Canis lupus familiaris: one gene and its partner. The protein of the gene in region 2 binds, or shares a complex with, the protein of the main gene of each other region. Links are inferred from orthologs where the notes say so. Each region holds a gene or a part of one and is shown on either strand. Other genes may lie near its edges.

The links.
Region 1: PRPF8 (region 2) and LSM7 share a complex: the UniProt entries of both Homo sapiens proteins name them as parts of the U4/U6-U5 tri-snRNP complex. The link is inferred for Canis lupus familiaris from reciprocal best matches to the Homo sapiens genes PRPF8 and LSM7.

What each region holds. Positions count from the first base shown.
Region 1 is NC_049241.1:57,200,364-57,204,440, reverse strand, and holds the start of LSM7 (U6 snRNA-associated Sm-like protein LSm7), read right to left. Parts: upstream 2,918-4,077; 5' UTR 2,908-2,917; coding exon 2,902-2,907; intron 2,819-2,901; coding exon 2,728-2,818; intron 1-2,727. Other genes in the region: SPPL2B (signal peptide peptidase-like 2B), read left to right, coding at 3,064-3,123. UniProt on the Homo sapiens protein: Plays a role in pre-mRNA splicing as component of the U4/U6-U5 tri-snRNP complex that is involved in spliceosome assembly, and as component of the precatalytic spliceosome (spliceosome B complex).
Region 2 is NC_049230.1:45,759,882-45,763,525, forward strand, and holds part of PRPF8 (pre-mRNA-processing-splicing factor 8), read right to left. Parts: intron 3,584-3,644; coding exon 3,437-3,583; intron 3,234-3,436; coding exon 3,023-3,233; intron 2,810-3,022; coding exon 2,693-2,809; intron 1-2,692. UniProt on the Homo sapiens protein: Plays a role in pre-mRNA splicing as core component of precatalytic, catalytic and postcatalytic spliceosomal complexes, both of the predominant U2-type spliceosome and the minor U12-type spliceosome.

The sequences.
Region 1 (4,077 bases), on a different chromosome or scaffold from region 2:
CAGGCGACTTGCAGACACTTGGATACACAAACGTGCAATTATGGCTTCAGTTTCTCAGATATTTGAAATCGTAAAAACCGTTCTCAGCTCACGAGCCATACGGAAACCAGCAGTGGCGCGCATGCGCAGAGGAGCGGCGCCTACACGGCCAGAGGGACGCGCCCCAAAGCCCTGCCCCTCCGGCCTTCAGGCCTCCCGGCCCAGGCACAGCTGGCGAAGCAGGGGTGCCCCCACCACGCTCCACCGCGCTGCTGTAGTGTCTGCGGGGAGTACGGGGCTGGACGGGACCGACAGCTCTGCGCACCACGGCGTGGGGGCCCAACCCGGCCTGCTGCGCTCCTGTGAGCAGCTTCACCGGCTCAGGGCGCCTTCACGCCTCCAGCCGTGACCGAGATCGCCTGGCTCTGTGCCTTCCTCTCTCCCCGACTGACCTCCCCTCCGCCCGCAAGACAAAGGTCCCGAGGACACTTCCCCGACGAGCTTATGGGCAGCGGGCACTGTGGCCGCACCTGCGGGTCTGCCCTCCTCCGTGGGGCACGAGCAGAGTTCTAAAATGGGGCTGACCCCGGTGACCACCCAGTGGAACCCCTCCCCTCAAGTGTGGGAGGGAACCTGTGAATAGGACGGGATGCCACTCCTGCCATTAGGTTACAGGAGGATAAAGACGAAGGAACGGGCACGTGTGATTACGGTCCCAGAATCAGTGCCCTCTCAGCTCACCTAAAGAGATTCTGCTCGGCCGGCCTGACCTAATCAGATGAGCTCAGGGGAACAGGAACTGTGTCAAAAAATTCAAAGCATGAGAGGGATCTTCCCACTGGCCTTGAGGGAGCAAACTGCCATGCTGTGGACAGTGCTGTGGCCAGGGCCGGCGGGCAGCCTCTAGGACACCTGTAGCAGAGCTCGGGGACCCTGGTCCTACAGGGGTAGGACCCTCGCAGGGGACCAAACCCTGCCCACAACCAACAGGGCGTCTGAGACACTCCTTTAGTGCAACCTGAGCCCCTGAGCCCAAGGCACCCAGACTCCTCCTGACAAACACCACAAGATAATAAATTCATGTTGCGTAAGCTGCTAACGTGGTGGCAACTTGCTACACAGCGTAGAAAACCCATATGAGCACCCTGAGAAACGAGAGCTGTGTCTCCTTCACGGGTCCCAGAGCCAGCACGGCGCAGACAGAGCAAACATCTGTTCGGGTTCAAGTTCTCACCACTGCTGGCTACCTAGACTTGCAGGCACCGCGCTGTTAACCACGCCGATGCTACCCAATCGTCCACATCTCCGGGAGAAAGGATCTGGGTCACTGTCTCATGAAACACAACGAAAGCAAAGAGGCAGCTGAAGAAATGAAATGTTGCTCAAGTGCTTGCTTGTGTCAGAAACCACATCGAAGGTGCCTCCAACCCTGTGATCCTCACCACCGCCCGGTGAGGTGGGGGGAGTGAAGAAATGGAGCCCTGGGGGGCGGGGTGAGCTGCCCGAAGTCCCACAGCCAGTGCGCCAAAGAGCTGTGGCTCTGACTCCAGCTGCCTGGTGCTAGGACCCCAGAGGCCACACTGCCTACACGCACCAGCAACACTGGGCCCAGCTCCTGCCCTCCTCACTATTCCAGGGGAAAGATGCAGAGGTCGGTGTCGTGTTTACTGCGTAAAGCGGGGAACGGTGACAGACGGTACCAGGAGCTGACACCAAAGGCGTGGGGCCCAGGGTGGAGGATCAGGGAAGGCTTCCTGGAACAAGAATCCTGAGCTGAGAGCAGAAAAATGACTGTGGAGTTAACCTGGAGTTAGAAAGAGAGACTCCCAACGGCGTCACTCGTGCCAAGCCCCGGCCACCCCACCGCGGCCTCATACCTAACCTGGCCGCACCTGCAGCTCTCCCAGGAATGCAATCTCCACCAGTCAGCCTGGAACTTCCAGGTCAGCCCTCCCGAGCTAGTCTTCCTGAAAGAACCCCCAGCATCCCCCAGAGGAGGGGGACCCTGCCGGAAGCGATCCAGCGTCTGCTCCTGCACCCTCTGCCTACGAAACCCTCTGGGGCTCTGCGCCGTCTCCTAGGTGGGGTGCTCCCTGGCTCGTGAATAGTGGGAGAAAGCTCCCGAGATCTTTGAAATTCATTCACCCAGAGAAGCCTTGTGTTTTAAGCCTGGTAAGAGCCCAGCAGGCGGGTGCACGTCACAGCCTGGTGGCAGCTGAGAGCTCCGCAAGGCTGCCCCTTCCCCGGGAGGGACCGGGCGGCCCAGAGGAGGGCCCACCTGTGTTTAACAGGCCCCTCTGGACCATCCTTGACACCGGGCCGCGGCTCGGCAAGGGAGATGCCTGGTTGGGGTGCCCAAGCTAAGGCATGTCCTGGCATCTGGCGGCATCCGGGGGTTGGCTGCTCCCCTCCCCCCAGCGCCCCGACAGCCCCGAACAATCTGGCTGGCGTCAGGGTCACGAGTGCGGAGCCCAAGGAGCCGGGGCGGGGGTCAGTGACCAGCGGGGACCAGCGGGGGCGGCTGCCTCGGAGCGAGGACCCCGCCTGCGCCTCGGCCGCTTCGGGGTGTCTGCAGCTCCTCCCGTGCCTCAGTTTCCCCGCGTGCACGGCGTCGGACGGAGGCCGTCGCGAGTCCTCCCAGCAAAGCGCTCCGGCCTGCGCCCGGGCATCCGCCACCCTGCTCGCCTCCCGGAGCCGTCGACGGGGAGCGGGCGGCGGGGCGGGCGGCGGGCGGCGGGGGGCTCTCACCTTCGCGGCCTCCCTGAAACTTCACCCGAATCGTCTTGTCGATGTACTTCGACAAGTCCAAGATGCTCTCTTTTTTCTTCTTCTCTTTGTCCTGCGGGGGAAGCAGAGCGCGTGAGGCGCAGAGCGCGGCCGGGTCCCACGCCGCCCGCCCAGCCGGCCCCGCCGCGCGCTCACCGCCATCTTGCCGCCGCGCGCCGCTCTGCGCAGGCGCCGCCGCGCGCCCTTTGACCCCGCCCCCGTGCGCAGGCGCGGAGCGCACACGGCGCAGGCGCGGCGGGGCGCGCCGGGGCGTTGCTGGGAAACATCTGCCGACGCCTGCGGCTCGACCCGGCTGACATGGCGGCGGCGGCGGCGCTGGCGCGGCTCGCGGCGGCCTTCCTGCTCCTCGCGACCCAGGTGAGGCTGCGTCGGCCCCGCCGGCCCCGCCGGCTGCGGCGCCCGGTCCCTCCGCCCCGGGCCCCGCGCCCCGCGGGAGCCCCGCCCGGCCTGGCCTGGGGGCCAGCCTCGGGTCTGCTCGCCCCCCGCGCGGTGGCCCGCGGGCCGGGAGCCGGGCCGTGACCTTGCGGGCCGGCCCCCCCCGGAGCCCTCCCCAGCCGCAGCGTCGCCCAGTTGCGCCTGGGTCTGAAGTCCGGGAGGCCCCCCGGCTCCCCAGGCCCTGCTCCGTCCCGAGGCCCCCGGCCGCCGCCGGGGACGCCCCCCGCCTGGCCCCCAGCCTCAGTTTCCCCTTCCGCGCGAGGTTAGCGCCCACCCGCGTGGTTGCGGTAAGCCGTCCGGCGTGGCCCCCGGTTCCCCACAGGGAGCGGCCGAGAGCCCGCGTCCCGAGTGGGGTCCAACCGCCGCCCCGTGTTCTGTTGCGTGACCTTGGGCAAGGGAGGCCCCAGCTTCGGGCGTCAGTTGCTCATCTGCAAAAGGAAGACGTCAGTGAGGACTCGGCGGTGATGCTCATGGGGTGACAGCTGCAGCGTGCTCCTCCTCGGGCAGCTGGGGTCAGAGGTCTCCGGGCCAGCGGGGGGCCTGCTGCCAGCCGGGGGGTGGACATCCTCCTAAGCGCACTTTGTATTTGCAGGTCCTCCCTCCCCGGTTCCCTGGGTGATGCAGCTCAGGGAGTGGTGTCCCATTAACCTTGAGCTGCCCGCCGCAGGTCCCCATCTCTCTCCTGTAGCCTCCGGTGGCCACTTGCGTCTCACACACCCCCCAGTCCATGGGCGGCACAGCAGGAGGGATGTCTCTGAAAGTGTGTCAGGTCTGGTTGCATCCAGATGAGAGCCGCCCCTCGGCTTCCAGCGCGTGTGGGAGGCCTCTGTGGTTGGGCGGCTTGGGACGCTTCCCCTCCTGTTCCTAGTTTGCTGA
Region 2 (3,644 bases):
CTCTAGGTGGCATCTAATTTCCTCCTTCCTCTTACTCCAGCTCTGGCAAGTTGCCAGTCCTTGCTGTCTCCACTCTCTCACTTCCCATAAAGCCTCACCCACTGCAATCTGGCTTCTATCCCCACTATTTCTGAAACAGCTCTTGCTAAGGTCACTAATGACGTCCTGACTGCCAAATCCAATGGATACCTTTCAGGCCTTATCTAACTAAAACACTCTTAGGCAACTGACACTGTTAAATGCCCACCCCAATTCCTGACGTCCTTGGCTTTGAGAACCCGGCACTCTCCCAGCCTGGCCATGCTGCTGTTTCGTATGGTTCCAAATTCATCCCTCTGCTCTTCTCATTCCTTACACTTGACCTGGGTAATCTTGCTCACTCTGGAGCTTTTTTTTTTTTTTTTTTTTTCACTCTGGAGCTTTAAACCACCTCCACGCTGACAGACTGCTACACCTACATCTTCAAACCAGGTATCTTCTCCAAGCTTCAGACGCCAAGCTCCACTTGATCATCCTATAGGAGCCTCGAAGTTACCCCTGACTGCTCTCACTTTCTCATTTCATTTCTCCCTCAAAAGCTTCAAGCTCGAAGTATTTTTCAGCAAATCTAAGAGACCACGAATTTAAGAAACATTACTAAGGGGACACACACACATACACCCCCCCCCATATTTATCATGGAATAAAAAAAAATAGGATATAATAAATGCCTGCCAAACACCTCCATCTGGATGTTCTCAGGAACCTTAACCTTGTTACATCCTACACTAAATCCATTTACCTTCTCTCCTAAACCTGCTCTTCCTCCTGTACTCTTCCAGTTGGTAGTGCCAATACCCAGCTAGTCAGCCACGCCAGAAACTGTTCTTTCCCTTTCCCACCAAAATGAGGCTTTGCTGATTTTACCTAACTACTTATCAAATCTGCTCCTGTCTCACTGCTCCCACCACTGTCATTGGGACTTCAGAAGTCCCCAAACCTGGGATGCCTATGTCTCTGCCTCTCTGTCTCTCATGAATAAATGAAGAAAATCTTAAAAAAAAAAAAAAAAAAAAGTCCCCAAACCTGATCTCCCACCCGATTCCTCTAAATCCATCCTCTCCACAGCTGCAAGAGTGAATCATATAACAGAAATCTGGAAAAGTCGGGATCCCTGGGTGGCACAGCGGTTTGGCGCCTGCCTTTGGCCCAGGGCGCGATCCTGGAGACCCGGGATCGAATCCCACATCGGGCTCCCAGTGCATGGAGCCTGCTTCTCCCTCTGCCTGTGTCTCTGCCTCTCTCTCTCTCTCTCTGTGACTATCATAAATAAATAAAAAAAAATTTTTTTTTAAATTAAAAAAAAAAAAAGAAATCTGGAAAAGTCACTTGCACACCTAACACCCTCACAGGACTGTTAACAAGGCATGCAATGGCCTCCATTGTCTGGCTCTAGCTCATCTATCCAATCTCCATCTCTTATCAGTTCCAACTCCACAACTGTACTCTAATAAAACCGTGAATTTTGTATCATGCTAGTTACCTCTCCAGGGCTGAAGAAATGCCTTCACCTGCCTCATCACCTCACTTTTTTCAGGAAGCCTTTCATCACCCTCTCCCAGACTGGGCTAGGGTCATTAACCTGAGTCTCCTCATAGATTCCCAAATACCACAGCCTCTATGAACACTACATCCTAGTTCTTGTCCATGGATCCGTCTCTTCACCTAGGTTAGGCCAGCTCAACAAAGGCAGAGACTCTATCTTACACGTAGTATGTGCACAGCCTTGAACACAGTAGTTTACCAACAAACACCAATAGGATGAATGAATTATATAATTCTTATTTGATCCTTAGAGGGAATAAACCAACCCCAAAAGATAAACTTTTCTCTTGTACCATTCTCCACCCCCGGGAAGTGAGAAATTTTAAGTAAGAAATACTAAGATAATGGGCACCTGGAAGGCTCGTCAGAAAAGCATGTGATTCTTGATTTTGCGGTTGTAAGTTTGAGCCGCATGTTGGGTGTAGAGATTACTTAAAAACATAAAACTTAAAAAAAAAAAAAAAAAAAAGAAAATGTATCCTTAACACAAGCATTGTTTGGGGCACAGCCTAATAAGAACCTGGCATTTCCTTCTCTTTTTGCATTACTGAGACACTTGAAAGCGTCAGCCAAGACATTATATGCACCACTATGGAAGCATGGAAAGACAGCAGGAAGAGTAAGGTGACTTTTTAAACCTTGCAGACACTTAAGTATACAGTTAACAAATCCCCAGATTATTCTTTCTCAATTCCAGTTGCCTTCAGCTGGGCCTTTGGAAGTAACTGAAGGGAAAAATAATCACTGAGATAGCTAGTCATACTTGCTTTTTAATATGCACAGTGTTATTGGTCAAAGATGAGCTATATAAATAAATAATAAACTCTGGGAAAATGCAAAAACTGAAAACTTTTGTTCAGGTTAAAAATTCAACTTCTATTCTTACCTTAGAATCACCACAATTACATAGAACTACACTGCACATTCCCTACAGAGTATTCTCAGAAAGTACCTGAACTGTTTTGACGTTATAAGCTTCTATACCATAAGGTATGGAAACTAGTACACTGAGCAAGCCTGGGAAAAAACAAGAGCAAATCAAGAGAAGAGCTGAAAGGCATAGGAGATAGAAGACATGAGGGAGGTTGGGGTTGACTGCCTTATATACCTTGGTGAAGGTAGTAGAGCCAGAGGCCATCAGAATTTGACGCACACGGTTGTGGAAGCGCTGCATTGACTCATCATCCACACGCAGGAAACACTGAGCTGTCCGCTCTTTAGTAACCTAAACCACATGGTCAAGGTGAAATTTATGTCTGATACTGCCACAGAAGCAAGGACCAACTCTGACACCCCCCCCCACCCCAAACTAAACTCTACCTATTCAATAAGGCTCAAATTAACTGATAATGAAAAGTTATGATGGTGTCCTCACCCCCATGTACCCCAGAGGAACAGGGATGATACTGCTGCTCCTAGCCCCCTTCCCAGACTGTACCTCATTCTGCAGGTTCCACACCCCATCCTTGTGGGTGAATTCCTCATAGCTGGTGCGGCATTTAGGTAGGATGCGGCACTCAAAGCCACACATGTTGAACAGCAGGTTGGGGTTATCCTTACTGTACACAGACACGAAACTGTTCTCCCACTGAACTGTAGTCACTGACCGTGGCAGACGGTTCTTGATGTCCCAGAACACTGCCCGACCCCTGCTCACAGAGAACATATGGTCACTTCAGTCTCCCGGGACTTGAAGGGAACTTCCCTCAGACTGCCAGACTCACAATACCCTAGGAGAGTATGCTCCTCCCGCCCAGGACACAACTTCATAAATCCCCTCTATGCTCTGCGTCCCTCAGGCTGGTAACCTTCCAGCTCCCACAGCTTCCTACAGCCCCCATTTAAGACTCACAAGTTGACATCATGTTTCATGAGGCGCATGCGCGCATCTCGGGGCCAGCACTTCTTGTTATTATAGCCAACGATATTTTCATTGTTCGGGTCAGGATGCTCTGTCAGGTAACGCTGGATCAAGTCCCGAGCCTCATCTGCTGTGAACCTACACCAAGCAAGATGCATTGCTGAGATCCAAATAAACTGGGAACTCACAAGACCTACAA